2 linked regions of the Rattus norvegicus genome follow. The protein of the gene in region 2 interacts with the protein of the main gene of each other region in a pairwise test. Links are inferred from orthologs where the notes say so. Each region holds a gene or a part of one and is shown on either strand. Other genes may lie near its edges. The genes, in order: Dera and Aldh16a1.

Evidence for each region.
Region 1: the proteins of Aldh16a1 (region 2) and Dera interact in binary tests that used the Homo sapiens proteins (3 or more experiments, as listed by UniProt). The link is inferred for Rattus norvegicus from reciprocal best matches to the Homo sapiens genes ALDH16A1 and DERA.

Annotation. Positions count from the first base shown.
Region 1 is NC_086022.1:172,388,921-172,405,671, forward strand, and holds the start of Dera (deoxyribose-phosphate aldolase), read left to right. Parts: upstream 1-6,050; 5' UTR 6,051-6,124; coding exon 6,125-6,155; intron 6,156-7,117; exon of another isoform or gene 7,118-16,751. Other genes in the region: Strap (serine-threonine kinase receptor-associated protein), read left to right, coding at 213-362, 906-971, 2,118-2,179. UniProt on the Homo sapiens protein: Catalyzes a reversible aldol reaction between acetaldehyde and D-glyceraldehyde 3-phosphate to generate 2-deoxy-D-ribose 5-phosphate. Participates in stress granule (SG) assembly.
Region 2 is NC_086019.1:104,757,866-104,774,131, reverse strand, and holds the end of Aldh16a1 (aldehyde dehydrogenase family 16 member A1), read left to right. Parts: intron 1-3,031; coding exon 3,032-3,134; intron 3,135-3,159; exon of another isoform or gene 3,160-3,449; intron 3,450-4,326; coding exon 4,327-4,453; intron 4,454-4,973; coding exon 4,974-5,152; intron 5,153-5,234; coding exon 5,235-5,312; intron 5,313-5,451; coding exon 5,452-5,633; intron 5,634-5,716; coding exon 5,717-5,869; intron 5,870-6,228; coding exon 6,229-6,414; intron 6,415-6,717; coding exon 6,718-6,813; intron 6,814-7,002; coding exon 7,003-7,139; intron 7,140-7,248; coding exon 7,249-7,354; intron 7,355-7,470; coding exon 7,471-7,601; intron 7,602-8,027; coding exon 8,028-8,195; intron 8,196-8,347; coding exon 8,348-8,549; intron 8,550-9,537; coding exon 9,538-9,723; intron 9,724-9,935; coding exon 9,936-10,058; intron 10,059-10,670; coding exon 10,671-10,832; 3' UTR 10,833-10,932; downstream 10,933-16,266.

The sequences.
Region 1 (16,751 bases), on a different chromosome or scaffold from region 2:
CCATCAGATCCCATGGCTTCCAGACAAGAGCTGTGTGGATCAGTGAAAGTTGACAGGGCTGCCTCTGACATTGGACAGGAAAGGGCTAATTCTAGGGAAATGATCCCCAGCAGTACAGACGGACAGTATCTCTTCTAGTACAGTGCTATTTACCCTAATAATTAGCTTTGCATGTATTTAAATCTGATAACCCCACTCTTCACTGTTTTCAGAATCCTACAAAGGTCACTTTGGCCCCATTCACTGTGTGAGATTCAGTCCCGATGGTGAACTCTATGCCAGTGGTTCTGAAGATGGGACACTGAGATTGTGGCAAACTGTGGTTGGAAAGACCTACGGCCTGTGGAAATGCGTGCTTCCTGGTGAGGACGTCTCTTCAACGTTACCAAATTATGCTGCGGAGACTGTGTGTCCTTCACTAGTTCTGTTGCACTGTGTCAGTTGCCTTTAGACTTTGAGTTCTGCATATGGCATAAGCAAGTGAAATCATGCTGCTAACTGAGCAATGACCTTTATGTGATGAATTGAATGAACTGATTGCAAAATTTATTACAAAGGAGCTCGGGAGATGGCCCAGGGGTTCAAAAGCATACATAAAAAAATAAAATAAAATAAAAATAAAGCTTGTTAGAAGGCAGTATGAAGAATTTACAAGTATCTATTCAATTTTTTATAGTATTACTTGATCCTTACCACTGAAAACATGTTTTTAAGTTTAAATAACAAACAAACAAACAAACAAAAACTCCAAATACTTATTACTAATCCCAGAGTGACTGTTGTACTAAAGGTGGCTTTAGATGTCTCTTTTAGACTCACAGTGACTGTTAAGAGGAAGTGTGCTGTGTGAGTTGGTGAACACCTGCCCTGCTTCATAGTCAGTCACCCCGCTTTTCTCTTCACAGAGGAAGATAGCGGGGAACTGGCAAAGCCAAAGATCGGATTTCCAGAAACAGCAGAAGAAGAGCTGGGTAAATACAAATTAATGAACTTTTCTAAGGGTCCTGGGTATGTAAAAATTCAGTGTATGAGCATTTTTGGTCCATGGCAAAAGAGACTTAATAAGTGAAGTACATTATAGGAAGCTTAAGTGTGAGTGTGTAAGCATTCGCTCCCGAGTTCCAGGCTCGTGCACGTGGACAGGACTGATGGGCTCCCTCATACGCTCAGGAACAGGTACTTAAAGGTTCCCGAGACAGTTTATAGCCATGAAGGGAGGCAGAGAGGGCTTCCTGCATAAGGGACACTTACATGCGAGGAGACCGCAGGACGGACAAGGTGGCTGGTGAGGATGGACAGGAGGGCTCAGCAGAAAACAGAAGAAAGGCAAGGGAAGCAGCGTGAAGGATGTCTCTGTCCAGTCTGAAGAGTCAGGGTGAGATGAGGTGAGAGGCTAGGCCAGCCGGCTCCTGGTTTGCTCTGTTACAACCTTGATCGTTTTATAAACTAGGAGAGTGAAAAACCTTTGATCTGAATGAAGGTCTAGATGTAAAATTAGGAAATTGTCTTGATGTATAGTGTGGAGAAAGAGTTAGACTAGGGACAATAGATTCAAGGTTAGTAGCCACAGGACAGACACCAAGAACAGAAGGAAGGTGGGCTTGTCTTAGATGCATAATGGCTAGATTGGAAGATTGGTCATTACTTGTCTTGTAACTTGGGGCGGTAAGAAGAGTTGACCGCAGATTCTGAGGCTAACCCCCGCTTTGGATGCTATTAGAGCCTGCCCCCAGAAGCAGTGCTTAATGGTTATGATTTTAATTACATGCCCTTGATACTAGGAATTGATTACTAAAGGAAAGGACAGGACCCACAAAGGCATGCTTTTAATTAGATGCTGACTGGATAGTTGGAGTCAGCCGAAGTTTATCCCGAAAGGACAGGGATTGGGGTTGGACAAGGATGTGAAGACCAAGAACGGGTGACTGTGTCTAAGCTCTGCCCAGGGGTTTGGTGGCCGGAGTCCTGGGGTAGTGTGATGTTCAGTAGCATTTCTATTTTCTCATTCTCGCCACAGCATGCTTGAAAAGACCCTTCTATTTATCCCTCCTTGTACAGAAGTGTAGATTTCCTTCTTCCTTTATTAAATCTGCTATGGCTTTGTCTTTTAAATGCAGAAGAGATTGCTTCAGAGAATTCAGATTCCATCTATTCGTCAACTCCTGAAGTGAAGGCCTGAGCAGCGTCAGACGTGTGCCGCAGATGCCATGCAGTTGATGGACTGAACAAGCAGAGACCGGCATCGGCCTTCAGTTACTCTGCCTGTGGCAAAGGGGACAGACTGTTGGGGCATGGATTGCTCCAGTGCACGAACCACTACAGTGTTGCCTGTGAGGGAACTGGCTGAGCGTGCGGTGCAGGCAGGAGGAGTCTGTTCACCTAGTGCCTGCCAAAGCCTGCTGCCGTGATGAAAAGCCAACTTAGTGTCCACTTTACCCCAGATCTCCTGTAGCTGTTTCTGTCATGGAGAAGAAAAATATATTGGCCTATTTTTCTGACATTTCCCTTGAAGAATGCCTTTTTTTCTCTGCTTAGTTGTGAAGAAGAGGAAATACATGATAAAGTAACTGGTTTGATCTCTTTCATTGTACACTGACGGCTTCTGGACATCTAATTTTTTAGTTATCTAAATAAAATGCCTCTAAAACAATAATTTTCTGTTTCTTTGGGAAATTCTGACATGCTTGAATATTAAAACTAAATATTCAGAGTTTTCTGTATCATCCACAGCCAGCAGTGGCAAAAGACAGTTTAGTTAGAGCCTGAACTAAACATTTCCTAATTTTGAAATTCAATTATTTAAACTTGAAACTTTCCTATCTTTTGCTAGGTGTTCATTTATCTTCCGGAAGGGTAGAATTGCTTTTCTTGTTTAAACATGCATGTTAGTTACTAAAAAGAAAAGCAATTAGGAAGACAGGTAAATAAGCGGAAGTCCCAGTTGTTCTGAAAACCGCTGTCCGCAGTCAGACATCTGCTTGGTTGTACAAATACCCACATGACTGTGAAACTGGGTTAATCATTAATTTGAAGTAGTTTATGATGTATCAGACTTTATCACATTGAAATTTGGGTCATTCAAAAAGTCAACCTTTAATACATTGGATCAGTTGAATAAATTTGTAGTTTATTATTTTATAATATGAAGAGATTAAATTAGTAATTTGGAAATAAAGATGAACAGCTTGCATTAATTTGCTTTCTTCTAATTTGTCTTTTGAGTGACCTTTAATACTTTGATTAGAAAAAAGCTTTGGCTGGTTTGTGACAACCAGAAGGCGGCACTACAAGCAGCGGCTGGGGAGCCAGGGGGACGCCTGTCACAGACGCTGATGAGCCTCAGGCAGTGGTGTTCCTGTGTCCATGTTTAACATGCTTGGTTCTCTGCTCTGTAGCAGTACTGTTAATGTATCAAGATTAGACTGAGAGTCTGACCCTAAATAAAGTTGAATGCATCTTTTATAATGGAAGTTGCTTGAGTTCATGAAATTAATAAAATAAGGGCATTTCTTTTTGTGCCATTGGTTTCCTGTTGCTGCAGCAAGTTCGTAGCCCGAGCCAGCATGCTTACTAAGGGACTGCAATGTCCCGAGGCTGAAACAAGTCTCACTTGAATAAGGTCCAGGTGCTGGCAAAGCTGCATTCTGTCTGGAGTCACCAGGAAAAGCTTTGCCCTCAGCTGCTAGAAGTCATCGTGGCACTCGCCTTCCCTCAGCTAAACCTGCTTCTCAAGCTTCTTTAGTGACTGTCGCTACCTTAAATCCAGGTGCTCAAATGAAAAGGCCTGGATGACCCTACATGCCTGTTCGAGTCCTACATCTGGCTGTGCTTATCCTGGGAGCTCTCCTAGATCTGTTCAGGGCTTCTCTTCTGTTACTTCCTCCTCAGGCTGCCCACGGTTCTTGGATGTTGCAGTCTACTACACCCTGCCTTTGCCTGGTTCTCAGCCTTGCAGTCTGCATTGTAGGAAAGGCTTTAGAATTTGAATCTTAAGGAGGTTGGGTCACTTGGTTTGGGTGCTGGTATTTAATCCCTTGATAGTGTGCCAGTTTTCTCATAGCCTGTTGAAACTTTCATTGGGGCTGAAGCTTCCAAGTAAAAAAGCGCGGACTGGAGACTCAGCCTAGTCAGTAAAGGGTGTGCTGTGCGGGTGTGAACATCTGAGTTTGCTTCCCCAGCAGCCACGTACAAAGTTGGACATGCTACTACATACATGTACACTTCTGAAATCCCCGGGCCATAGGTGATAGCTACATATTACAAGATTGCTTGGTCATCGTGGCCAGGGCAAATCTGTAGGTTTTTGTGTTGAGATGTGAATATTTTGGCTATGCATGATGTTGGTGTTCTTGGTGGTCTAGTGGGTTTCAGATAAACTCCAGGCTTGTAGTGCCTGCTCTTAAGTTTTGCAGGGTAAGTGAAAATAACAATGGTATTGTGAAAATGATCTAGACACATCCAGAATACTTAGAAGTAGTTGCGTATGGGCTAGACTACATGGTAGCTCTGTGGGGGAAATAAACTGGCTTCTATCTAGATAAGTAATTGTGTATCTGACACTACCTTTAATAGCTTCCATTTATCATGTCCTCACATATTTATGAACCATGCAACTTTGCATGCAAACCTATTTTGATCACCTAGTTTTGCAGTAAGTAGACTATAATGTCCTAGAACCTTCTAGTCATTGTGTAGAATTGAAATATGAATGGTTCGAGTTCATTAGAGCCCTCTCTACCAGATTGCTGCTCAATTCTCAAAGTTTGGGTCTCTGGGTATATGTACATCTCTGGCAGGACTTTCTGGGATGAAAATGCTTTCATACATCTGAAAACACTAGAGCAATTGATTCATTAGACAAGCTGGTAGCTCAGACTTTGAGCTCAGCAAAGTTCCATGTGCATATAGATACAATGGCTAGTGCCCTGTGCTGTGAACCTAGAGTAATTCAGAGAAACCAGGCTGAAAAAAAAATCAGAATCACAGAATCTCAACTTTAGAAAGCCAAGAAATTGGCTGGATCCTCTCTTCAGATAAGGAAAATGAAGTTCACAAAGGCCAGTGATGTGTCCTAGGTTACATATTCAATTATTCATAGAACTAAGTTAAAAACATCTTTTCAGAAGTTGAGAGTGCTTGTACTCCTTAAGACTTCAGTATGGTTCCCAGCTTATAACTAAACGTGGTCCAGAGGGTCCTGTTCTGGCCTCTGCAGGTACCTGTACACATGTGCTGTCCATACATACATACGTGTGTATACACAAAGATGAAAATAACATGTTTTTTAAATGGAAGAAACCAAGCCTTCTACTGCATGTGGCATCCGCCTGTAATCCCAGCAGTGGGGAATCTGGGCAGGAGATTTAACAAAGCAGTCTCTGGGCCAGTCGTATTTACAGAGCGAAATTTCTGTCTAAAAACAAAACGAAAGGGCTGGAGAGATGGCTCAGCTGATGAGAGCACTGATTGTTCTTCCAGAGATCCTGAGTTCAACTCCCAGCAAACACATGGTGGCTCAACAACCATCTGTAATGGGATCCGATGCCGCCTTCTGGTGTGTCGGAGGACAGCAACAGTGTATTCACATGCATAAATTAAATCTTAAAAAAAAAAACAAACCAAAAACGAGAAACCAGGTCTTCCAAGCTTATGTTCTAGCTGCTCTTTCATCGAGCCCAGACTAGAAATCACAGCGTGTTCTAGGTCCTAGAGTACCTTGGCTGTCACCTGAGGGCTCCGGAACACTGCCCACCATTCGGGTCCAAGGCTGCAGTGCTCTGCCCATGCAAGAAGGAATCCAGTCCTGCCACTCACATGATCCTACAGCTAAAGTTCCTAAGACTCACTCTGTCTAGCTCAATTGGCAATGTAAGCATAATGGAGCTGGGGCGTGCTCAAGTCATGTGCCTGATCCGGAAGGACAGGGAACAGGTAATGTCCGGGTTGGGAGCCAAGGCCAAGAGCTAGCTCAGAGACAGGACTAAAGGGGCGTGGTTCTAGAGGGCGTGGCTTGTGAGGGGCAGAAGGGGCGTGGCTCAGGGCGGGCATTTGGCAGGAAGGAGGAAGACCAGGCCTGTGTGGCGCCCTACCCTGGTGCAAGAGTTACCTTTCAGCTGTGGCCGCAATGGCTGCTCACTGCCGGGGCACAGAGCTCGGTAAGGGCCGGCGGGTTACGCTCCTCTTCGCCAGGTTGGGGGTGTGGGTGCCCAGGGCGGTCCCCGGAGAGCGGAGTCGTGAACTGAGGCAGAACCCCGGGACAGCCCTGCCTTGCTGTCTTTGCAGTTTTTCCCTTTAAGCGGAAGCAAGGAAGGATTCATTAGATCTTTCCACTTTAAGCTCTGTGGTCGCAGAAAACAAACCCCTGCGAAAAACCTGAGGGAGTATTTGTGCCATTTACAGCCGGATTCACGTAGCCATTCCCAAAATTGACTGCGCTGGTGGAAGAGTGGTCATGGCCTTCCGCTAAAAGTGATTTTAGACCCTTACACAAAATGTCCTTTTTAAAACTATTTTTCATCTTATTGATGCTAGTTCAGATATTTCTGGGGGAAAAAAGTCTGTAATTCAAACGTGGCAAAAAACGTGACTGAGCCAAATGTCAACGATTTAACTTTGTATGATAGTTTGCTTCATATCCTGGACCCTCTTAGTCGTGCGATTTGGGGTAAATTACTCACTTTGTGCTTACGTGCCGGCATCTGTAAAGTAGTTATTAGGAAGCTACTTCTGTCTGAAGGTGGTTTGGATAGTGTGAGGACAGGATACTCAGAGCTTCCAGTGGATTTCTCTGCATTTACTGCTGATAAGCAACGATAAAAATTGGGTAAAGTTCTCTTCTTAGGGGCTGATTTTGCGTAGTTATAACACATGGTTACTCTTTTCTCTTCAAAAGGGACTTGCTCCACGAATAATCAGTCTAGACTTTAAAGACGTTTAGAATTGCATGCTCGACAGGTAGCTTCTGTACCAGGTTCACCTCAATGAACTCCTTCCAACAGACGGTGGCTTACACTTTATCCCTTAAACGTTAGCTGCGATCCAGCGTACCCTGGATTGGAAGAGTGAAGATGGGGGCTAAAGGTTGAGGCTGAGGTGTGTCTGCATCTTTGTACAATGTCTCTCTTTTAAAAGTTTCACAGTTGCCTTTCGGGTGATGCAATTAAAGCGTTTTTACTTTGCTGTTGCACATACCTGTAACTCCAGCATCCGGCGTGAGCAGGCCGGCCTGGACTACATCGGAAGAACTTCTCTCAAAAAAAACCCAAAAAACAAAAAACAAAAAAAAAACCCAAAAAACTACCAAAACCCCACCTTTCGTGTGTCTCAAAATAACAGTGTAGAAATTAAGAGTTGCTATTTAGAATAGTAGTAAATGTGTGCTCACGCCTCCAACAAAAGCGGATACTTTTTACCATTCTTGTTAAAATCAGGTGGAGCGCAAGAGTCCTTATCAGCTGGGAACGGCTCGAATCTAAACTGCTAAAGTAAATCACGTGAATTATATATGTACTATGAAAAAAACTCTTCTGTCTTAATTTCAACACGGCCTCAATTGATGGTTTTTGAGTTTTTTTGTTGATTAAAAACATCTTAATGTTTTTTATGAACGCTACCTTTTAAAAAGAAATTAGTTTTATTTAAACACATTCATATTAAATTTTTTTAGCAAAATGCAGTTATCACCAGGTGGATTGTAGACTTCATTAGTCATTGTCATTTATAATTTTTTCTATTTTACTTTTAAGTGTGAGTTTTGTCTATACATGTCTCTTTACCATGTACATGCAATGCCTGTTGAGGCCAGAAGAGGGCATCCAATCCCCTGGGATTGGAGTTTCTGATGGTGTATGGCTGCCCGGTGAGAGTTGAACTCAGGTCCTCTCAGAGCTCTTGACTGCTGAGACATATCTCTTCAGCCTTTAATCCAGATTTTAAAAATCGAATTTACTTGTCTACTTTGTGTGTGTGTGTGTGTGTGTGTATGTATGTGTGTGTATGTATGTGTGTGTGTATGTGTGTGTATGTATGTGTGTGTATGTGTGTGTATGTATGTGTGTGTGTGTGTGTATGTGTGTGTGTGTGTGTGTGTGTGTGTGTGTGTGTGCGTGCGCAGAGAGATCAGAGGGCAGCTTTCACAGTTGCCTCACCTTCCACTTTTGCCATCCAGGATTGAAATTCAGGATGTCCAGTGCAGCAGTAAGTGTCTGCCCACTGAGCCATCTGGCTGGTCCTGAACTTGCCTTTCAGGGCGAGAACACTGCAAGGAAAGTTTCTTCCCAGCAGGGCATGTGTAAAAGAGGTTTCCAGATAGGGATGCTCTGGTTGTAAATGGAGGTCCAGCCGTCTGGGTCTGGGTGGTTCTGGGGCACACTCAGGGAACTGCCATGCTGATTAATCCTTCCAGGCTGTGTCAACATGTTCTAGACTTTTCTGACTTTTCCTTACAACGTAGGTGCCTGTGAACATGTTTTTCCCTTAGTTCCCCATGTAACCTATATGGACGAAGGCCCTCACAGGAGGAACAGAGGAACACATCTTGAACTATTTACCGTTTGGGGGAACCTGTCTGTGCAGCTGGGACCTGTGTGTGGACAGGAGCTGTGAGGGCCATGCCTTCCTAGGTTCCAGTGCCAGTCAGAGGCCGTTTGATAACTTCTGTTTTCGGTGGTGGACAGTGGTTTTGTCTTGGGGTTTCTATAACCGATGAAACACCGTGAGCAAAAGCAAGTTAGGGAGGAAAGGTCCTATTTCCCTTCAGGAATTCAGGGCAGGAACTCAACTAGGACAGGGGGTAGGAGTCATGGAGGAGTGCTGCTTCCTGGTTGTTCCTCATGGCTTGCTCAGCCTGCTTTCTTATAGGACCCAGGACCATCAGCCAAGGGATGGAACCACCCACAGTGGGCTGGGCTCCCCCTCATCAATGACTGATTAAGAAAATGCCCTGCGGTTCTGTCTACCATGTCCTGATCTTGTGCAGGCTTGTTTTCCCAGTTGCCATTCCTTCTTCTCAGATGACTCTAGCTAATGTCAAGTTGGCATAAAGCCTGCCAGCACAATTTCATTTCAAATTAGTGCATGCTTAGAGGTACCTGGAAACGGGGATTTTGTACTAGGGAACATTTTAGCAATGTCTTACTTTATGTTGGTCGTTTCTGTTAGGGGAAAGCTTCAAGCAGATCTCAACTGTGAAGAAACAGTTCACCGGACACTGTTATTAGTAGGTGGATACAATTATGGTGTAGGGTGTTCAAAACAGAAGGTAGTCTTGGTGTAGCCTAAAGGAACAGAAGGACTAAGTCAGAGCTGCTCAAAATCCACTCTTTCTGCCAGAAAGTTGTTCTAGAAGCCAAACCCTGCTAGCAAGCACTTGGGCAGAAAGTCCGCTCGGCTTTTATTCTACAAAGGTGGTGAGTGTGTCTTTCCCCATTTGCTGTGATCCAACTTCATAGTCTTCTGAGGTTGGCTGGTTTTTGTTTTTATGCATATGTGTGCTTTGCCTGCGTCTGTGTCTGTGTACCATGTACATTCCTGGTACCCTTGGAAGCTGAAAGAGGTCATCCCATCTCCTGGAACTGGAGCTTTGTGCACTCTGGGAGCTGGGAACAGGACTTGGGTCCTCTGCAAGTGCAGGCAGTGCTCTTAACGACTGAACCACTTCAACCAGCCCAATTCAAAGTCCTTTTTAAAAAGACTGTAAATGTGATATCCGTTCATCTTTTACCTCTGTGCGTTTATGAAGTTAGATATGTCTAGATTTTTTTTCAGTGTTTCTGAGGTAGCGTTTTAAAAATTGTTAATATTTATTGGGTCTAATTTTAATTTTATTTATTTTATGCGTATGGGTGCTTTGCCTGCATGTGCATTTATGTATCATATGGGTGCCTGGCCTTGAGTCCCCTGGGACTGGTGATACAGATTCTGGGTATTGGGACTCATACTCAGGACCTCTGGAGGAGCCTGAACTCTTTTAGTTGAGTGTGACCTTGAACCATGATCCTCCTGCCTCCACCTCTCAAGTGCCAGGATTATAAGAAGCCTGACTTAGACTTCGTTAAATGAGTTGTGATAACAAGATGTTCTCGCTCCCCTGTGTCATTGTCGTTTATTTTTGTGTTTATAGGAGCTTGTGTACGATTAGCAACATAGGAAGCTCGTTTCTTCCTTCCTCTGTCTGGACTCTGGGCTGCTGTATGCATGGCTACCCTCCTTACCTGTTTGGGCTTCCATGCCCCACTGTGGACTTGAGGGTGTCCTGCCCAGGTACCTTGAGGGTACCTTGTTCACCTCCTTTCTTACCTTTGCCCTGGTGGTTCAGGTCTGCCCTCTAAGGAAGACAGGGGAAAGGAGCCAATGTGCATTTTATAAAGCAGTATTTTATGTGCACAGAGATTTGGAGAGTCCTGTGTGGAGTGCCTCTTGTTTTATGGCCCCAGGGTATGGATCCCACAGGTAGCTGACCTGTTCGGATCTCTAAGAGCACAGGCGTCTCAGCCAGCGTGTATATGTAGGACAGTGAAAGTCACTCAGGTGTTGGCTGAGCGTGCTGCTCCAGTGCTGTGATTTGATACCAGTACTAGGGGGTGGAGACAAGAGGGTTAACAGTTTTGAGGCCAGCCTGGGGTAGTTTTGAGACAAGCTAAACTAAGCAAAAATCACCACGAATGAAGGGAGGAAATTGTATTTGAGCAGGTAGAGTAAGGAAACCCCTAACCTGACTGCTCCATTATTAAAGGGAAGGTTCTTATTGGGGATGAGTGAGAGATGATATCCAGAGGCCACTGGAAGAGTCTAGAGCAGAGAGAAGAGAAAGCAGACTGGACATGGCCAGAGCTGGGGAAGCAGGAGAGAGCAAGACCGCATACAGGGAGAGCCTCCCTGTTCACCTGTAGTGAGAGAGGGACTCGCTGGATTGTAAGGAGGATGAGTAACTGTGGGTACCAAACCTGTGAGCTAGAGAGTCTAGAGTAGAGGGGGTAAGGCAGACTGGGGTGCTAGTGTGGAATTTGTAATGTATAAGAGAAACTTGTGATACCGGGGGAGCCTGGAGGCCAGCATGGGCTTCGAGATGCTTCGAGCCATATGTCCCTTCCACCAGAGGTCAGGGAAATGACTCCTTGGGGGGGACAGAAAACCTGTTTCACAGGTTCCTGAGGAACACTGGCTTCTACCAGTCAAAAATCCTGCTATTGACCAGCTGGACATCTAACACAAATGACCTCAGAAACACAAAAGGACAGGAAGAGATGGGGTCACACCGGTGAGTCCAGGGGAGGCTTTCTTTCCTAATGCTGTTCCTCAGCGGATCCTTTGTACACAGGGATTGAGGGAAAGCAGCCTAGAAGGGTCCTTTAAACACAGGAACCCAGTGCTCAGATTCTCGTGTCCACCCTGTTCTGCTGTAGTGGCTGTGACTAATACATTGAGCGATTCTGCATGTGGGTCACACAAGTACGGTGATTGCTCATTTCTGTATTTTAAGTTGGGTGTCCTTTTTATGAACACTTTTATTCTGCTTTTGAAGTCTGCTATCTTTTGTTTATAAGCATGTACATGAGGCTATCTTTTATCACTCTGATGCCGTTTTGATAAACAGAAAGCTATAAAGTAATAATCAGAGGTTGTTGTGTAATTAAATAACTAAAGGTCCTCTGTGGTACCTGCTGCACTGAAACACTTTTTTTTTTTTTTAAATAGAAGTATCTAAGCCCTGTGGATTTTAATTATTGGGAGGGAAGGCAAACTTCAAGCCTCCGCCTGGAAAGAAAGACTACTAAATGAGACAGCAGACAGAGCCCTGGAGGACGCGATTGAAACATGTCACTAGAAATGGTTTAAGTGGAGAGTTCTGGCCCTTTCAAAACACTGCCTGTCACTTGAGGATTGGGTCACCTTGAAATGTGTTCATCTTTGAATTAAAGGCATGAAAAGGCACTTTGAAAATTTTCAGTCGACTTTGGTGTGTGTTGTGAGCGTCTGTGGGGTGTACTTCCTCTGCTGTCTCCCCAAAACAGTCGGTTCCCTGGAAACCAAAGTGGTCGCAAGAGGAGGATAAATGTTTAATCTCTGCGCCAACAACCCTACATAGTTTTTTAAAATGCTGAGCCACTTACATCCCAACTCCTTGCTCTCTTTGTATACTCGGGCTCTCCTCCTGCAAAGACATGGCAGGCAGAGAGCCGCTGCTGGTAATTGCTCTCCAAAAGGGCGCCTCGTGGCTGGTGCCAGGGTTGTCTTAGGCTCTCGCTAATGATGCCAAGTTACGCTCGGTGAAGGAAGGGAGACTACTGAAATTATCCAATCAGAAGCCTGATTCTGATGAGCGTTTCAGTTAACACCTCAGGGACATACTTTTGTCCTCTTCGTTCGGACGGGATGCGTTTGTGTGTGTGAGTGTGCAGTTCATTCGCGTGTCTACAGAGAAGTGTCTCAGCGACTAACAGCACTGGCCACACGCGCCTCAAAGCTTGACTTCAGTCCTAGGAACCTAGATTAAAAATATCAGACACGTATCTGTAATCCCAGCCTCCTACAGTAGGAGGTGGAGACAGGGAAGCTACAGAAACTCTAGTGCCCTCTGTCCCTAAACATTCAGCAGGGGAGAAATAAGGACCTGTCCGAGGGAAAAGGAGAGAACCAACTGCCCTCCACATATGAACCATGGCACACACATGCCTAATGTACACACTTTAATAGACAAACAAGCCATTTAAAATGTAAAAATGTCTACAGCTTAGTAGGGTTTTCTATAGTTTGTTACAACTTTTTGGTAGGACTACACAGAGAAACCCTGTCTCGGGGGAAAATGGATCTTTCTGCTGTTAGTAATTTAATTAATGTAAAGAAAAGTTGGATGCCTGTGTCTCTGCCGTGTGACCTTCTTATGTCCCTCTTCCTTATCTAGCAGTGGTCCCTTCCCACAGTTTAACTTTCGCAAGCCAGGCTGAAACCAGACATCTGCGAGTGGTCATCGGAGACTCTCTGCTTGGCTGTGTGTGGTTTTCCCAGGTGCACTAGGGCCACTTTGATCTTGACAGGGACGTCTGTGCCCTGGCTTGACCGTTCTTATTCTGTAAGAAGAGTCTCACGTGTGTTGCTGTTTAAGCACATGATGATAACCAGGAGGTGATGCTTGTGTGGACCTGGGGGGGGGGGCTCTTTGTGTCTCTTGCTGTTTTTGAAAATCTAAAGTTACTCTAAAAAGTATGTTTGAAACAGAAGAATCCGGTGTACAATCTCTGAGACTCCGAGGGCTGTCCTGGCTCTGTATTTGAGCTGCGTGATCCTTCAGTGGCCGTTCCTGCAGCTGTGTGGGCTGGTGTTCTAGGCTTTCCCCTTCCTTGTCTTGCTGGTGGCAAGGCTCACTGGCTTCCCAGACCAGTCGGTTGCACGTTTTGCCCTCTAGTTGACTGAACATGACTAAACGCTGTACCACACTGCCCTTCCCTCTATATGTCTCAAATCTCAATGTTGGGTGTCTCCCTTAGTTTTTCTCTCCCCGCCATGCCAGTTAGGCTAGCAGCCAGCGAGATCCCGGGAGCCTCCTGCCTTCGCCTCACTTAGAGTTCCTCAGTGCCAGGATGACGTGTACACCACAGCACTCTGGTGATTTAGGTGGAAGCTGAGTCTGGAGTCAGGTCCTTGAGCTTGCCAAGCCAGCGCTTCGCTGATCAACAGAGCCGCCCAAGCACGGGCCTGTATTGTGTATTCACTCCTCTGCCTGACGGGGTACTGGTTACAGTCTTAATGTTTGCTTCCATTAGAGATGTGGTGAGGGCTCCCCCCTTTCTGCTCTTCCCAGGCATGTGGTCCATGGCGTCGCTGTGAGGGCTCCAAGACTTTTGATCCGCTCCAGGAAAAGCTTCCTTTCTTTGAACTCCTTGATCGCATTTGTCCTTTCGGATTTGTTTGTCTTTTAAACTTGGTATCATCTCCTTCCGTTTCATGTAACACATAATCTTCCTTGAACTTTTTTTCAGTGTTCTTGTTTGTGCACACAAGTCCTGGTGCTCAAAGAGACCAGAGCCATTGGATCCCAGTGGAGCTGGGGTTAGAGGCAATTCTGAGTCTCCTGACGTGGGTGCAGGAAATCAGGCTCTGGTTCTCTAGAACAGCGGTACATGTGTCTCCAGCCCCACTCTAGTGATTATGGATATAACTTGGGCTTTAGAATCTAGTGGCCTGAGTTTCCCTTGTAGGCCTGGCAGATACTGTGTGACCTTGAACAAGTAATTGAGTGTCTGGGCTTCAGTGTCCTCGATCTGTAATTCTACCCTGGAAGAGTGACTTAGGTCAGTCCCACCATGGAAGACTGACTTTGGTTACCATCAACTTGATAATTGATTGATCTCCACCAGTCAAAAATTCTGGCTGCTTTTCTATTTCCTTCTGACGTAATCAACTCTCATGATCTCCATTCCTCCCTGTAGGCACCCTTGGTCTCTTCCAGTCTCCTGAAGTACTCTGTCTCTCTGGTGCTGACGTTGTGTGTGTGGTAGTGAAGTTTACCATTCTGGAGATGGGCTCTCTTTGCTAGGTCTCTGTATCTCTAATATCGATTACAACAATAGCGTTGTTCATGGCACAGCTTTCTGTGTGTGCCCAGGGTTCCATGTATCCCAGATGGACCTTAAGCTCTGTGTGTAGCTGCGAATGACCTTGAAGTTCAGATCATCCTCCTTCCCTCCTGAGTGCTAGGATTTATGTATGTAGCACCACATATGTGGTTTATATGGTGCTGATGTCAAGTCTGTGCTTCTTGCTTGCTAGGGAAGCACTTTACCAGCTAAGAGACAGCCCTGATACCCATCCCTCCATGGCCCTCTGGCTGACTAGTATACCTGGACTTTCCTCTTCTGAGTTATTGGGACCCACCCCAGCTTCTCCCACCTCCTCTCCAGCATCACAGGGTGTGGGGGTAGGGAGAAGGAAGGGTTCTGTACTACCTAGGCAATCCTGGTCTCTGGGTTGACTTTGGGACATGCTGTCACAGTTCGGAACGCCTAAGACCTCATCCACTCTGCTACTAGAATCGTCACTGGTCTCGGAAGTCAAACTTAAAACCCTCACTCTGATGACCTTTCCTCCTGCCTCTCTCTTATGCCGAGGTGGAACCCAGGACATCTTGCATGCAAAGCAAACACCCATCTCACTTTGTCCTTAGCCCTCCTGTAGAGATTCAAAGCCAGGAGACAGCAAATTGCTGTAAAATTCAACCATTTTTGTATTTAGCTCTTGGATGATGTGAGGTGGCATTCTATGGGCACACAAATGAGTCGCCCTGCTTGAATCTCTAGCCAGTAAGAGCTTGAATGTCAGGTGATGTCAAGGATGGCTCTCAGGAGGATGGGGGACTTTTACTTCTGGTTGTGCCAGCCTCTTGTTATCAGGGATTCTTCCCCTCGGTAACAGGGTGGGAGGGAAGTAGGATGTTCAGTTCTCATCAGTGTGCAAAAGACGGACAGTCTAAAGCACTACTTCTTTAAGAAGCCTTAAAAGATGGCAAAATGGCACTTCAGTGGTACAGATTCATATATTCATCTTGAGGGGACCCTGCCTGCTGTCTGTGGAATCTGTCATTCTTGTTCTTCTGTCCTCTCCTCTGCACCCCCAATATTAAGGGCTGCCCCCACCCCTGCTTATCTTCCTGTTTCTCTGGCTGCTAAACCCTGCCCTGCCCCCTGGGGCAGGTTCCTCTAAGTATGGAAAAAAACTCAGCTGGTCATGTGACTTCCACCCACCTCAGGGGTCAGCAGGTCCGTGGGGCTGGCAGCAGGGAGCCTGCGTTCTTTCAGTTACAGTCACAAAAAAGCTGGAAACCTCTTAGTGGGCACAGCTTCCTTTTGGAGGGCACAGTGCTTTGAGGTTTTTGACGATTGACACCGGAGTGTCTGAAAGTGCTGGGGAAACCGGCCCATCTTGCCACAAAGAACTTCCTCCTAAAGAGAGATGGTGGGAGAGCAGGTGCTTTGGGAAACAGCATTTTGAATCAGGGCCCAGCAGGTGGTGATTTTCAGTCTAATTCAGTCCAGGAGCACACACTCCCAGGCAGCCTGGACTGCCCTTGCTCAGTAAGGCTGCAGGGGCTGGTTTGCTTGTTTTGGGAAATAATATCCTGTCTGCTTGTAGTTGGGTGTTAGTGCTTGTTGGCTGCCTGCTGTTGGAGGGGTATGTCTACAGTCCTAGCTCCTTCTATCTATGAGTGATGTGTGTGTGTGTGTGTGTGTGTGTGTACATGTGTGTACATGCACGTGCGTGTGCATGCATATGTGTCTCTGTGTATATATATGTGTGTGTCTACATGTGTGGGCATGAATATGTATGCATGTGTTCATGCATGTGTGTCTCTGTGTATATATGTGTATGTGCATGCATGTGTGTGTATGCATATATGTGTATGCTTGTGCATGTGTCTCTGAACATAAATGTGTATTTACATGTGTGTGCATGCATATGTGTGTATATATATGTGTGTGTGTACATGTGTGGGCATGAATATATATGCATGTGTTCATGCATGTGTGTCTCTGTATTTATATGTGTATATGCATGCATGTATGTGTGCATATATGTGTATGCTTGTGCATGTGTCTCTGAACATATATGTATATTTACATGTGTGTGCATGCATGTGTGCGTGCATATATGTGTGCATGCTTATGCATGTGTCTCTGTACATATACGTGTGCTTGCATGTGTGTGCATGCTTATATGTGTGTGTGGACATATATGTATATGTGCATGCATGTATGTGT
Region 2 (16,266 bases):
AACAGCAAAGAGGGGATTATTTTTGTTATTTTAGGGACAGAGCACAAGGCTGATGAGGGGAATAATTTTGCTCACAGTACACACAGCTTAAAGAAGTTTAGATATGGTGGACAAACTGGTAATCCCAGCATTTGGAAGGCCAGAGCAAGAGAGTTAGAGTTCCAAATCAGCTAAGCAGTCTCAAAAAATGAGAGAAGGAGCCAGGCCTGTCACCATGCCTTGGGTTCTGTGCGCCCCCATCAGTTGCCCCCATTACTCCTCCAAAGGTCTCAGGTTTATCATCTATGGGCAGCTCATCAACCAGAAAACATGTTTTCTTTGGCGTGGGCTTTGTTTTTGGAAATGTCATTTATTGTACAATTAATTCCATCTAAACATCCTGGATACTAATTTCTCTTGAAAATAAAATTCCAAAGTTTGGCAAGCTTTTGGCTCCAGTTGCCTGACAAAACTCATCTGGAACCAATTGTCTGGGCTACTTGGGGACATTTGAAGCTCTTGGTGTCCAATAGGCGCTCCACTCCTGCTGCTGTGGCTGCCAGGGCCCTGTGGACATTCTTGTGGGAGTTTGTTTTCCAACTTTTCCACAGCAGCTGATGTTAGGAACTCCCATGCATCCATCACTCAGCTCTGACAACTAACATGCAGGCCAGTGTTTGCTGCCGCTTCCTTCTTCCCTTCAAGAGCAGTTTACACAAATGCCAGCTGTTGTGCTACGCTCCCATAAATGTTTGCGTCTTTATTTCTAACAGATAAGGTTTGCGTTATATAACTAACACTGTCCTAGCATTAACTGTCAATCATGAGTGTAGTTCCTAGCTCATGTTCACAACGGCCCCACTTCCAAAATTGGCTCTGTCCTCTTGGACGCTGCAGTTTGGAACATTTGAGTGACAGTTTTTCTTTTCTTTTTTTATGTGGTTTTCTTTTTTTGAGTGATTTTATTTTATTTTTTAAGATTTTAAATATTTATTTTATATATATGATGAGTATGTTGTAGCTGTCTTCAGACACACCAGAAGGTGGCATCAGATCTCATAGATGGTTGTAAGCCACCATGTGGTTGCTTGGATTTGAACTCAGGACCTCTGGAAGAGCAGTCAGTGCTCTTAACCACTGAGCCATCTCTCAAGCCCCTTGCCTTTTCTTTTGCTCTTTGGGACAGGGTTTCTGTATGTAATCCTTCCTGGCTGTCCTGGAATGCTCCGTGTAGATAGTCTGACTGGAACTCAAAAGCAATTCTCTTGCCTCTGCCTCCCGAGTGCTGAGACGAAAGGTGTGCAGCCCCACCCCAGCCAAGATTTCTTTTTTGTTATTTATGATTATGTGTGTGTATGCATGTGCGCATGCTTATGAGTGAGCAGGTAGGCCAGCAGAGGGGTTAGATCCCCGGGGCTGGAGTTGCAGGTGGCTGCGAACTGTCAGAAATCAACTGTGAGGAGTCCGCAGGGAAGCTTTCGAGGCCGCTCTTCTGCTCCAGCCTTCTTTCTTTTCAAGGGCTGGGATTCCTCATGTAGGCCAAACTGGCTGTTCTTTGAACTCCTAGGATCCTCCTCCTCTACCTTCCTAACACAAATTACAAATGCGTGTGCCTTGGTCCACTTTTCTCCCCTGGATCCTGGGGATTGAACTCAGGTTCTTTTATTAATTGCTTTGCTGGGCCTGGAGAGATGGCTCAGTTAGGAGCACTGACTGCTCTTCCAGAGGTCCTGAGTTCAAATCCCAGCAACCACATGGTGACTCACAACCATCTGTAATGAGATCTGATGTCCCTTTCTGGTGTGTCTGAAGCTACAGTGTGCTTATATATAAATAGAAAAATAAATTTTAAAAAAATCGCTTTGCTGCCTGACGTACTTCCCCACCATGCACTATTTTGAGACGGAGTCTCCCTAGGTAGCCTAGACTGGCTACAGTAGTGATCCTCCTGCCTCTCCATCTCTAGTGTCGGAGTTATAGGCACGTGGTGCACACTGAGCCCATTTTGCTTTAAGGAAGAAAAGTAAACAAAGAATGAGAGGCCAGTTGTCAGGATAAGGGAAAGCATCTGAGAATGGAAAGTAGAGGTTGGATTTAAGAACAGCGGAATCTAAGGAGGAAGAGAAAGCAGCATGTGTGCCTGGAGAGGAAGCTGAAGCCAAGGTCACAGGAGGAACTAAAGTGGCGATGCTGTCTGTTTATGCATATTTGTTCCCTCTCCCCAGGCATGGGGGTGGTTTACCAGAGGCAGAGTTATAACCCCTGGCTAAGCCTGGCAGTGTTGGCGCACACTCAGGAGGCAGAGGCAGGAGGCCAGCCAGGTCTAAAGAGCTAGTTCCAGAACAGCCAGCGATACAGGGAAAAATGGAAAAATGGAAATAATAATAATATTAGTGTTATTAATAATAAACAAAGCAGTAGTGGTGCTCTTGGCTAACATGCTCAAGGCCTGGGTTCCATCCCCAGCACCAAAAAATAAACAGAAACACCACTGACAAATATGTTTCCACAGAAACAAAACTGACAAAGTCACTTCTGTGAGGATGGAAGTGAGGTGTGTGTGGTGTGTATATGTGTATATACATATATATTCACACTTAAGCCAGGCATACCAGTGCACACAGTGGATGGATGCAGGAGGATCTGGAGTTCATTCATGACACCACAGTGAGTTTAAACCAGCCTGGGCTATTATTACATTTGATCCTGTCTGAAAAAGAAAGAAACAGAGAAAAATTAGAGTCCAAGTTCTTACCATTGTAGCCCATGCTGTCCTGAGTCCTGGCCTGTAACAGGCTATACATGCATAGGCTGTAGCAGCAGTCCAACTAACGTAATGAGTTTCAGATAACATTTTAACCACAGTAAAACAAACAAGTGGGCTGGAAGTATAATTTGATAGTTTAGGGCCCTGCCCAAAACAAAAACAAAAGGCACCCAGGAGAAGAGTGAGCTGAGGGCAAAGGGTGCAAACGTCCCCTCAAGGAGAGCAAGGGGCTGAGCTGCCCCAGCTGCCTCATCTGCTCTTCTCCAAACTTCTTTCTTCCTCCAGGCCTGGCTGGACACCCACAATCGCCTCTTGGGCCACTATGTCAATGGGATGTGGCTGAAGCCAGAACACAGGAATCCAGCGCCTTGCCAGGATCCCATCACAGGTTTTTAAAGAGTCCAGTCATTCAGGAGGAACAAAGACCTTTCTCAGGGTGTCAGCCATGCCATCCCTGATATCTAGCCCCTGAGTGCAGGGACAACCACTGATGGTGGTGGGGATGGGAGTTCTCATTTCTCCTGATGACTGTCTCAGTAATTATAGTTCCTAGTGCCCCAAAAGGCTTCTGAAGCCCCTCTTTACTAAATTCCCTTCCTCAAGTCTAGTATAATGGCTCAGACCTCTAATCCCAGCAATCCAGAGGCTGAAACAGGAGGATCATGAGTTTGAAGCCAGCCTGAAATACAAGAGTGAATTCCAGGTCAGCCGTGGCTTCATAGTGAAACACTTTTTTTTTTCTTTTTTCTTTTTTTCGGAGCTGGGGACCAAACCCAGGGCCTTGCACTTGCTAGGCAAGCGCTCTACCACTGAGCTAAATCCCCAACCCCTAGTGAGACACTTTTAAAAAGAGAGGAAGGGGTGAAGAGACAGCTCAGTGGTTAGAAGTGAGTACTGTTCAGTACCTAGTACCCATGTCAGGACCAGGCTGCTCAAAACCACCTGTAACTTCAGGTCCAGATGATCTGATGTCTTCTGACTCCTATACATACATACATAATACATACACACACACACATACAGGCATACATCCATATAAGCATATATACATACAGGCAAAACACTCATAACTAATTTTAAGTAAATAAAAGTTTAAAAACACAGCTGAGGGCTGGAGAGATGGCTCAGAGGTTAAGAGCACCGGCTGCTCTTCCAGAGGTCCTGAGTTCAAATCCCAGCAACCACATGGTGGCTCACAACCATCTGTAATGGGATCTGATGCCCTCTTCTGGTGTCTAAAAACAGTTACAGTATACTCATATAAATAAAAAATTTAAAAAAATTAAAAAAAAAAAACAAACCATAGCTGAGCATTAATGTGTTCAGGAGGCAGAGACAGACAGATCCCTGAGTTTGAGCCCAGCCTGGCCTACAGGGAGAGTTCCAGGACAGCCAGGGCTACACAGAGAAAACCTGTATCAACAAAACAAACAAACAAAAGGTTTAAAAATCAGAGAAAGAAGGAAAGAAAGTTGACTCCTGTCTGCAGGGCTCGGTCAGAGCAGTGACCAGTGACTAGAGGAAGGCCTGAGATGCACAGGGAACTTCTGACACAGACTTCCCCCATCTTGTCTTGGCAGGAGAAAACCTGGCCAGCTGCCTGCAAGCAGAGGCCGAGGACATCTCTGCAGCTGTGGAGGCTGCAAGGATAACATTCAAGACCTGGAGCCAACTCCCTGGAACTGCTCGGGGCCAACATCTAACCCGGTGAGGAAGCCCAGGCAAGGTCCACAGAGGAAGAGATGGGCCTTGTCCCTCAGGATTCACAGGAGACTGGAAACAGTGACTCCGCTTCCTAAGAGCCTTTTGAGTGTTCATGTTACCTGAATATATATGGTGCTTCAGTGGCCAGAACAGCCCTTGTTTCTCCCAGTTCACTGGGACTGGTGGTTTCAGAACATCTTAGAGCCCTGTTTCTCAGCACTTCATTAGAATCTGAGCTCCCTGCTCAGACTATGGGGTCAGCTATAAAGATCCCATTTCCCACAATGCAATTGAATCAGAGACTCAGATTCAAGTCCCCAGTTACCTCTGGTCCTGGCTGGTAATTAGTGACCAGGACCGTTCCTCAGCATCCACACAGAGTTTTGACACTCTCCTAAACTACATTTCCCATACAGCTTTGGTATCTGCTGTCCCTGATAAATTATGGATCCGCCCCTAGTGTCTGTGGGGATTATAGTCCAGGTTGCTCTGAGCATGGACCAATTCCTTGTATCCTCCAAAGGCTAGCCAAGGTTATTCAGAAGCACCAGCGCCTGCTGTGGACCCTGGAGTCCCTGGTCACTGGGCGGGCTGTTCGAGAAGTTCGAGATGGGGATATACCACTGGCGCAGCAACTGCTCCACTACCATGCCCTCCAGGCACATGCGCAGGATAGCGCACTGGCAGACTGGGAGCCCTTGGGTGAGAACCTGTAGGCCCTCAAAGAGCCCTCCTGACCCAGTAAACCAACCCGTCCATTCCCCTCATTATGAATTCTTTGTAGGAGTCATTGGCCTCATCCTGCCGACTTCTTTCTCATTCTTGGACATGATGTGGAGGGTCTGTCCTGCCTTGGCTATGGGTAGGTGAGGGCTGTGGTTGCCTCCCCCTGTCTTTTCTCAGAGGATGGTTGGGGTCTGAGGAGGAGGGTAGAGGTCTGGACTCAGATCTGAAGAAAGAGAGCTGGACTTTAAGGTTCCTTGGTTGTTCCCCTCCCCTAGGCTGCACTGTGGTGGCCCTTGTGCCCCCATCCTTCCCAACACCTCTCCTCCTGGCTCAGCTGGCAGGGGAGCTTGGCTCCTTCCCAGGGATCCTCAATGTGGTATGTGGCCCTGTCTCACTGGGGCCTGTCCTGGCCTCCCAACCTGGAGTGCAGAAGGTGGCCTTCTGTGGCGCTGTGGAGGTATCTTTGGGGATGGGAGTGGGATGGGCACAGCTAAGGGCCAAGAGGCTCCTGTCACAACTGAAACCCATGGGTTCCCTCAGGAAGGACGTGCTCTACGACAGACTCTAGCAGGCAGGGGAGCCACACTGGGCCTGGCCCTGGGCACAGAGTCCCTGTTGCTGCTAACAGACTCAGCAGATGTGGACTCGGCTGTGGAGGGTGTTGTAGATGCTGTCTGGTCAGACCGCAGCCTGGTAAGATCTATATGCTCATGTCCCCAAAGTCCAGGGCCCACCATATCTCTCCAAATACATGGGTGTTTGTTCCCACCTTGTTTTTACTTTCTGGTCTTTGGGCATTTTTATTATTTGGGACAGGGTCTTATATAGCCCAGGCTGGCTTCCAACTCACTATGTAGCCCAGGCTAGCTTTGAACTCCTAATCCTGCTGGGGTTCTTGGTATATGCCACCATTCTGGGCAAGTCACGGATTTTCTGCAGTGCACCTCTTGCCTGCTGCTGCTCCTCCTCCCTGAGGTCCACGCCTCTGTGGGAACCTGTTCTTATATTCATTGCCCCTGATTTTGACCATTTTTGATGCCTTTTCCCAACAGGGGGGACTCAGGCTCCTCATCCAGGAATCTGTATGGGATGAAGCTATGAAGCGACTCCAGGCCAGGATGGCACAGATACGGAGCGGGAAAGGACTGGATGGGGCTGTGGACATGGGGGCTCGAGGAGCTGCTGCCCGAGACCTTGCCCAGAGCTTTGTGGATGAGGCCCAAAGCCAGGGTGGACAGGTGAGCCCCAACTGCACAATGGAGTCTTAGACTTTGACTAGCTAGCTCCTATGTCAGAGTCAGAAGGTCCCAGACCCTAGATGCCTGGGTCCGAGAGAAGGACTAAAGCCTGCCTCCTCAGTTTGCAGAAGAAAGTTGGGGTCTGGCCTTCAGTGTCTGAGGGAAGAGGCTAGGGTTCTGCGTGTCCAGGTTGAGGGGGGAGCCTGGGGCTTGGACCCCTGAGCCTGCAGGAGGAGGCTGAGTGGTGTCCCTGGGTCTAGAGAAGACAGGCATCTGATCTGTCTCCATGTCCCTCCTCCCCAGGTATTCCAAGCTGGTGATATGCCCTCCAACAGCCCCTTCTTCTCTCCAACCTTGGTCTCTGGTCTTCCTCCAGCAGCCCCATGTGCCCAGGCTGAGGTGAGGCCCCTGAGACCACAGTCATCCTGCCCCACCCTTCCACCCTCAGTAACTTGTGGGCAGCACCCCATACCTTAGAATGTTTGAGTGACCCTGTGACCAACCGGGGGCTGGAAATACTAGGACTTCCTAAATGAGTAAAGTATTGACCCTAGGGCTTGCTCTCCAGCTAACACCTGTCCTTCCTAGGTGCCGTGGCCTGTGGTTATGGCTTCACCTTTCCGCACAGTCAAGGAGGCACTGGCCCTGGCCAATGGAACACCCCGGGGAGGCAGCGCCAGTGTGTGGAGTGAGAGGCTAGGGCAGGCCCTGGAGCTGGGCTATGGGTTAGTTGGTACTTACTCACCTGCCTATGCCCTGTCTCCCACTCAGGTGTCTCCCTCCCCCTTACCCAGCTTTCCATCCCCTCCCCTGGTGTCTTTTCCTGCCTCCTAGGCTCCAGGTAGGCACAGTATGGATCAATGCTCATGGCCTCCGAGACCCTGCGGTGCCTACAGGTGGCTGCAAGGAGAGTGGGTCTTCCTGGCATGGAGGGCCAGATGTGAGTGCCCATCGCCTCTTTGTCTCTTGACACCTCATACCCTCACCTAATACCTCTCACCTAGTACCCCTCACCTAGTACTACCTGGCCTCCTGGTGACCACACACCTTTCACAGGGCCTATATGAGTACCTACAGCTCCTGGGAACACCTTACCGGGAGTCCTTCCTTTGTGAGAGTCTCAACTATGACACATTTGGCCTTGCTGTGTCCTCCAGCCTGCCGTCTGGGCCAGAAACAGGGCCAAGGTGAGCTGTTGAGGTCTGGCAGCCTAAGGGTGAGAGGGAGGGGCCGAGGGAGGAGGAGGTTACAGCCAGTCTCGGGGTCTCGGTTCTTAGTGCAGCTTTCTGGATCCTAACCCCAAGTGTAAAGAGAATCTCAGTTCTACTTAATGGCTTGAGTTTTTCCCAAAGCAAGAATTCAGGGAGCACCCAGATGCTCATAGAAATAGGAATTTAGAGTGTTAAGAGTTTTAGATGACCTCAGAAACTCATGGGGTAGAAATTCGGAAGCCTCCAGAGGCTCATGGCAGCAGGTGTTTGAATCCTCCTAGACGCTCATGAGAATAGAAATTTGAGTCCAGAAGGTTCCTGGCAACTGGGAGGTCCAACCAGTGTAGTAGACCTGCCAGTGGCCTACATGGACTCAGAGCCTCCTCCTACCCCACTCTGCAGCCCAGCACCTCCCTATGGGCTGTTTGTCAGGGGCCGTTTCCAGTCTCCTGGGACCCAGAGCTCCAGGCCCATCAAAGATTCTTCGGGCAAAGTCTCCAGCTATGTAGCTGAGGGTGGAGCCAAGGATATCCGAGGTGCTGTGGAGGCCGCTCATCAGGCTGCCCCTGGGTAAGAGGGTCAAATGGAAGCCCAGAGGTAAGGGTATCTAGGGTGGGAGTAAGCTTGGGACTGGAGCCCTAGGTTGAGTCTGTGGATAGAGGTGGCCATCTGGGAATAGCTAAGGTCAGGCTGTACCCCTAACTTGCGTTGTTTGCCTACAGCTGGGGAGCCCAGTCTCCAAGGGCCCGAGCAAGCCTGCTGTGGGCCCTGGCGGCTGCTCTGGAGCGGAGGAAGCAAGTCCTGGCCGCACAGCTAGAGAGGCACGGAGCGGCGCCTACGGTTGCGGAGACTGAAGTGGAGCTGAGTGTGAGGCGACTCCAGACATGGGCCACCCGGGTTCAGGACCAAGGCCAGACACTACAGGTGAGACAGATCTAAGCAGCTGATAGGACAGTCCCCAGCCAAGAGCCAGAGCCCAGGCTCAACATTTGTAAAACAGAGGCAGAAAAATCACAAGTCGAAGGTCAGCCTTGACCACAGTGAAACCCTGCATTGAAAAAACAAAGGTATTGCTGAGCATGGTGGCCTTCATCCCAGCAGTAAGGAGCTGCCCTGCAGGGGATGGGTTTGACCTCAGCACCCAGGCCAGAAGCCTTACCACCTCATGTAACTCTAGCTCCCAGAGACCTCACACTTCCTTCTAACACTCACAAGTGCACATAACTGTGCCACACACACACACACACACACACACACACACACACACACAATTAAATAATAAATCAAGCCTTTAGTCCCAGTACTCAAGAGGCAGAGGCAGGTAGATCTATGTGAATTTGATGCTAGCCTGGTCTGCAAAGTGACTTCCGGGATAGCCAGGACTGCCCAGAGTGTTGAAAATCCAAAACTCAATCAATTGATCAATCAGTCAATCAATCAAGCTGGGTTTTGGTGGCGCCTGTGTTTAATCCCTGTACTCAGGAGGCAGAGGCAAGCAGATCTCTGAGTACAAGGCCAGCCTGGGCTACATAGGGAGCCCTGTCTCAAAACAAACCAGACACAAGCAAGTGTTGGAATATGGTTCAATGATAGAACACTTACCCATCCTAGCATGGTTGGAGCCCTCTGCAATACCTCAAAACACACTGATTGCACAGGCCCAAATCTCAGCTACTCCAAAGACTGAGGCAGGAGAATGGCAGGTTCAAGGCCCAGAGGCCCAGAGAGGTTAAGTAACTCATGCTGATGAGTGGGCATTGGAATCCAGAGTTTTAGGCCCTGAACGAGCATCCCCTGGTCACACTTTATAGGAGCTACTGTGGAATAGAAACATATCAGATGTGGGAGAATGGGGCAGGCAATAGAGAGGCCTCTGGGAACTTGTTGATGTGTCTGTCATCTGTCCCTGTAGGTAACAGGATTGAGAGGCCCTGTGCTCCGGCTTCGAGAGCCACTAGGAGTGCTGGCTGTGGTGTGCCCAGATGAGTGGCCGATGCTGGCTTTTGTGTCACTACTAGCCCCTGCACTGGCCCATGGCAACGCTGTGGTCTTAGTACCTAGTGGATCATGTCCTCTGCTGGCCTTGGAAGCCTGTCAGGTAAAATCACCTGCTTCCCCTCCTGCCTGCTGCTCCTGGGTCTTCCAGAGCTCAGCTGGCCTCCTCCCTCCTGGGTAACCATGGTAACTTGAATTTCAGCATCCCATCTAAGTCCTATTCCTTGTATGAGCCCCTACAGCTACTGCCCCACGAGGGCCACTCTTCAAGGGCCACTGATGTTCAACCCTGGGTGTCCCACTCTCTCATCCTAGGATATAGCTGCTCTGTTTCCTGCTGGCCTGGTGAACGTAGTGACAGGAGATCGGGACCATCTGACCCGCTGTCTGGCCTTACATCAGGATGTCCAGGCCATGTGGTACTTTGGTTCAGCCCAGGTACTTGAGGGTACTTAACCTTCACCAACAGACTTCTGTGCTAGGAGCATGGCCTCATCCCCTAAAGACCTCTGTTCCTGACAGGAAGGAATGCCTTAGCAACAGCTGTTGAGGCCCTACCCACCCTGTACAAGCTCAGGACAAAGGAAGAGTCTTCAATTGGGGTTTGGGGGACACAGTGTTTCGAGACAGGATTTCTCTGTGTAGCCCCTGTTCTAGAACTCACTATGTAAGCTAGGCTGGTCTTGAACTCACAGAGATTTGCCTGCTTCTGCCTCCCAAGTACTGGGATTAAAGGTCTGCATCACTGCTGCTCAAGTGCCTAAAGCCTCCCTTGCCCAAAGACAGGGTGGTTTTTGGGAGACCTATTGCTAAGGTATGCACCCTAGCAACATTCCAAGGCTCTCCCCTCCTAAACCATTGTTGCGCAGGGGAAGTCCCCATTGACAAGAGCCTTGAACTGGGTCTACTTCCTCTGCATCTAAAAGGAGTGTTGGCCAGGATCTAAATGCCCAGCCTTGTCAGGTCTTGTTAGCTCTTTTACAGGTGTTCGTCGCTGAGGAAGCAGCTGTTTGGCAACTGGCAGTACTAATTTTGTACTCTCCATCCCAGGGCTCCCAGTTTGTGGAATGGGCCTCTGCAGGAAACCTCAAGCCCGTGTGGGTAAACAGGGACTTCCCAAGGGCCTGGGATGTGGAAGTCCAAGGGTCAGAACAGGAGCTGAGTCTTCATGCAGCACGAACCAAGGCCCTGTGGCTGCCAATGGGGGACTGAGGTCGAAGCCACCCACTCCATCTTTCATGCCAGGGACACCAAGTGCTTGGAACGTTTCTCTCAGATTTCCCATGACTTCAAATAAACTGAGTGACATTGACTTTGACTACATTTGAGGGTGTGGGAACAGTGGCTTCTTGTGTGGCCCGGTAGGCAGCCCTGGGAGAGCACTGTTTATGTAATGCATAAAGGGAACTCAGCCCCGTCCAGCACTCTGGGGTCAGGAGGAGGTAGAGGGAAGTCCCTGGAAGGCTCTGTCTGTCCCCTTTATACTTGATTCCAGCATTGGGTAGGCCACAGGGCCACCCCTTCCTGTAAGTCCCCTCTCTGACTAGGTCTATATCCTAGCACAGCCCTAGTATGTCAGCCCACGCCAGGGGCCACCACTGCTGTGCCAGGTTCTGAGGGCACAGCTTCAAGGCAAGGCCTGGCTTCCTTGAGCCGAAACTCATCAGGTCTTGCCATCACAGCAGATCTCCATGGATTTAGCCTTTAGTTTGGGTTTTAGGTTTGTGGTTTTGCTTTTTTCTCCCCCTCTTTGGTCTGTTTCACCTTAGGGAACAGCTAATCTGCACATCCGTTCCTCGTGTCTCAACCTGAATGCTGCTTACCGTCAGGTGCTTCCAACCCGCGACGTCTGCCTGTGGGATAGAAGGTGCGGTTTTTGTTTGTTTGGTTGGTTTTAGATTTTTTTTTTTAAATATTTTATTTATTTATTATATATTATGATTACACTGTCGCTATCTTCAGACACACCAGAAGAGGGCATCAGACTCATTTCAGATGGTTGTGAGCCATCATGTGGTTGCTGGGATTTGAACTCAGGACCTTGGGAAGAGCAGTCGGTGCTCTTAACCACTGAGCCATCTCTCCAGCCCTGGTTGGTTTTAGATTTATCTATTTATTTTATGTATGTGAGTACACTGTAGCTGTCTTCAGACGCACCAGAAGATGGTGTTCGATCCCATTACAGATGGTTGTGAGTCATCATGTGGTTGATGGGAATTGAACTCAGGACCTCTGCAAGAGCCATCTCTCCAGGCCCTTGTTTTTGTTTTTTAAGCAGGATCTCACTATGTAGTCCTGTGGGACCTGGAACATACACACACACACACACACACACACACACACACACACACACACACACAGACACACACTCTCTCTCTCTCTCTCCTTTTTTTTTTTTTAAAGATTGTTTTAGGGCTGGAGAGATGGCTCAGTGGTTAAGAGCACTGACGGCTCTTCCAGAGGTCCTGAGTTCAAATCCCAGTAACCACATGGTGGCTCACAACCATCTGTAATGGGATCTGATGCCCTCTTCTGGTGTGTCTGAAGACAGCTACAATGTGCTCACATATAATAAATAAATAAACCTTTCAAAAAAATTGTTTTAAGCCAGACAGTGGTGGCTGTGCACGCCTTTAATCCCAGCACTCCGGAAGCAGAGGCAGGCAGATCTCTGTGTTTGAGGCCAGCCTGGTCTACAGAGCAAGTTCTAGGACAGCCAGGTACACTGTCTCAAAAGAAAAAAAAATTAAAGTTTCAGGGGAGTTTTGTTTTTGTATTTTGTTTTGTTTTGTTTTTTTCAGTATGCATGTATGTGGGCATGCACAAAAGTCAGAAAACAACACACAGGGTCAGTTCTCTCCTTCACCATGTTGGTTCATGGGATCAACTCAGGTGTTTATACTCAGTAGTTATAACCTTTTTATAATCATTTTATCAGCTGAGCCATCTCACCCCGATCTGGAATTCTTGTGATCCACCTATATATATCTATCTCCACCCTGTGTTGTTCCTTAATCTTCTCTGCCTTTTTACCATGTGAGGTCACAAAAGAAGACAGAGTGTCTGTTCATTCAGGCTGAACATGAAGGCCACAGGCAAGAGACGTTGGAGAAGAGCCACCACCATGGCCTACCTAGCCTTTCACACTCACCTGGATCTGTGGGCTACGGCCAACTGGTTTACTCACTGCATATGGTCAACGCTCCCCCCCAATTCCACTCTGCTCACTAATGTTGCCCAGTTCCCTAGGCTGATGGAGGCTGTCTTAGTCCATTTCCTTTCTTGTATCTTACGGTTTGGTGATGGTGTTCTGTTTGTTGGAGTTTGGTTTGTTTGCTTGGTTTGGTTTGGTTTGATTTGGTTTGGTTTGGTTTGGTTTGGTTTCGAGAACCACAGTGTGTGTGTGTGTGTGTGTGTGTGTGTGTGTGTGTGTGTGTGTGTGTGTCCCTGGTGGACTAGAACTTCTATGGCTATGGCTATGGCACCAAAGACGGCCTTGCATTCCTGATTCTCCTGCCATTGGGATGACAGACTTGAGCCATCAGGCTCAACTTCCTCTGAGCCCATCTTCTGAGCTGTAACTGATTATCACAGACTGTCACTTGCCAAGAGTAAAGGTCACAGTACATGGCTGGTGAAGCTGGGAGCCCCATCTGGTTGGCATTTGTGAAGCTAATGGCATGACAGCTTCTAAGAGAACAAAGCCTGTCCCAGGGACCCTGATAACATGATATAGTGTGTGCGTGTCGCTGCTGCTGCTGTGATGACACACCGTGACAAGAAGCAACTCTGGGAGGAGAGGGTTTATTTAGCTTACACATTCCAAATCACTGAGGAGATCCAAGGTAGGAACTCAAACCTGGCAGGAACCTGGAAGCAGGGGCCATGGACAGGTGCTGCTGACTGGCTTGCTTCCTGTGGCTTGCTCAGCCTGCTTTCTTAAACCACCCATGACCACCAGCCCAGGGGTAGCACCATTCCCCATGGATGTAACCTATGTCATTAAGAAAATGCCCGGGGTTGGGGATTTAGCTCAGTGGTAAAGCGCTTGCCTAGCAAGCGCAAGGCCCTGGGTTCGTCGGTCCTCAGCTCCGAAAAAAAGAAAAAAAAAAAGGAGATTATTTAAAAAAAAAAAAAGAAAGAAAGAAAGAAAATGCCCTTACAGGCTTGCCTACAGCCCATCTTATGGAGGCCATTTGACAATAGAGGTTCCCTATAGTTTGTGACTGTAGCTTGTGTCAAATAGGCATAAAACCAGTCAGCACAGACAGGGCAGTTTTGGCAGGATCTCTCAGTTAAGGCCAGCCTGGTCTACAGGTCAAGTTACAGTTTAGCCGGATTACACAGAGAAGCCCTGTCCCAAGGAAGGGGAGTAGGACTGGAGGGGAAGCAGCATCGTATCTTTTTTCTTTTTCTTTCTTTCTTTTTTTTTTTCCTTTAGTGATCTTCTTTTATTTTTGAATGAGGGTGTCAGGTTCCCTGGAGTTACAGACAGTTGTGACCGGCCTTGTGAGTGCTGGGAATTGAGCCAGGGCCTTTTGGAAAAGCAGGCAATCAGTGCTCTTAACCACTGAGCCGTCTCTCCAGCCCCCATGACTTTATTTTAATGGTGTCAACGGGTATGGACACGTGAGGTCAGAAGAGAGTATTGAATTCCATGGAGCTGCACCCACTGTGAGTGCTGGGAAATGAATCAGGTCCTATGCAATGATACAGACTCCCCCCACCCCCCACCCCCCGGAGCTGAGGCCCAAACCCAGGGCCTTGCCATGCTCTACCACTGAGCTAAATCCCCAGGCCCTAGTACGGACTTTTAATCTCAATCATCTCTCCAGTCCCATTTCTTCTGGTTTTTGAGACAGAGGCTCGATGGGTGTGGTAATCCCAGAGGCAGGGCAGGTGAGCCTCCTTAAATTTGAGGGCAGCCTTGTTCATATATCTTGTTCCAGGCCAGGGCTACATAGTGTACTTCGTAAGACTCTCAAAAAAGAGAGGTAGTCTGACTAAGCCTGGCTGAATTGAAACTCACCATCCCAAGCTGTTCTAGAACTTACTGTGATTTTCCTGCCCCAGCCTTCAAGTGCTGAGATCCCAGGCCTGTTGTAGGACTCCATTAAAGCTCCACCTGGAGATGCCAGCAGTGTGAACGAACACAGGGGACTAAGTTTCCACATGTGAAAAAGTTAGGGCACAGTGAACACAGCACAGCCCCACTTCCCTCGCACCCACTCCTAAGCTTGTTGGGCTTCACCCAGCAGTAACCTAAACTTTCCACTCTCCAGTGACTGGCCAAAGCAAACCAAACAGGCACACCAGAGTTTGCAGAGCAGACCTGGGCTTCTGCAGGAGAGGCTTAGACGGAACTACCCAGGCAGGAGAGCCCTGCCTCGAACGCCACTGAGAGTGTCTGCTCAACAGTCGGCTATCAGCCTATCATGTGGGAAGTGCTGGGTTCAATCCCCAGAACTGCACAAAAAGAAGACACCTCGTATTTGTGTCATTTACTAACTCACTCCCAGTTTAGGGTAGGAAAACCTTCAGCTTACAGAGGACAAAGGGCCGGTTCTCACAGTGACAAAGCCAGCACCACTGTGACACCTGTAGACTGCATGTGACAGGTTCCCTGAGGTGCTATAAAAAGCAGCTCAGTGGGCTCACCGTGGCCTGCACAGAGCTGGGGTGCAGAGCACAGAGGAGCATAGATGGCAGGTCAGAGCTGGGGGTTGATTGTTTGGAAGACAAAGTCTAGTGTGATCCAGGCTGGCTTCAATCTCACAGCGAAGGATGATTTTGCCTGGATTACTGGCGTACTCTGCCTAGTCTTGTTTCTGCCATGCTGGAGGTGGAATCTAGGACTTTGTGCGTGCTAGCCAAGCACCATGGTATCTGCAGCCCCAGGATCTTGAGATGAGATCTCCATACATTATCTAAGCTGACCCTAAATCCAAGAATAAGCAACCCGCGACTCACAGAGAAGATTCGTCTGCCTTTGCCTCTCCTGTTGGAATTAAAAGTAGCACCACCACATCTTGCCTATTATATGACACAGGGTCTTCTTTGTAGCTAAGGCTAACCTTGAACTCCTGGTCCACCTGCTTCCAATGCACCATGTTATTCATTCTCGATCCTTTCTGAATTGCCTCTGTGTGAACTCAGGTGCAGTTCAGGTGTCAGCCCTGATAAACGATGGCGCTCCCCATACTTGAAAAATCCCAAGGATTTATCTCCTAGAAACCAAAACCCAAACCTAGACACATCCTGTGCTACACAGCAGCGGTGAGCTGGGAAGAGGTCGGGACCTGCCAGTACATTGATCAGATAGACTCTGGGGTAGCTGCTGTTTAGGGAAGACATAGTTCTGGGTGCAAGGACTTTGCAGGGTGGAAACAGCCACTAAAGAAGCCAAGACAGGGTTGGGGATTTAGCTCAGTGGTAGAGCGCTTGCCTAGGAAGCGCAAGGCCCTGGTTCGGTCCCCAGCTCCGAAAAAAAAAAAAAAAAAAAAAAAAGAAGCCAAGACAATGGGGAAGATAAGGAAACCATGGTGTGTGTTAAATGGTGATAAGGACAAAGCAGGGTGAGTCTGGTGCTGCAAGGGGTGCAGTTTGGGAAAAGGTATCATGAATCCTCTGCCTATGTGTTTAATCA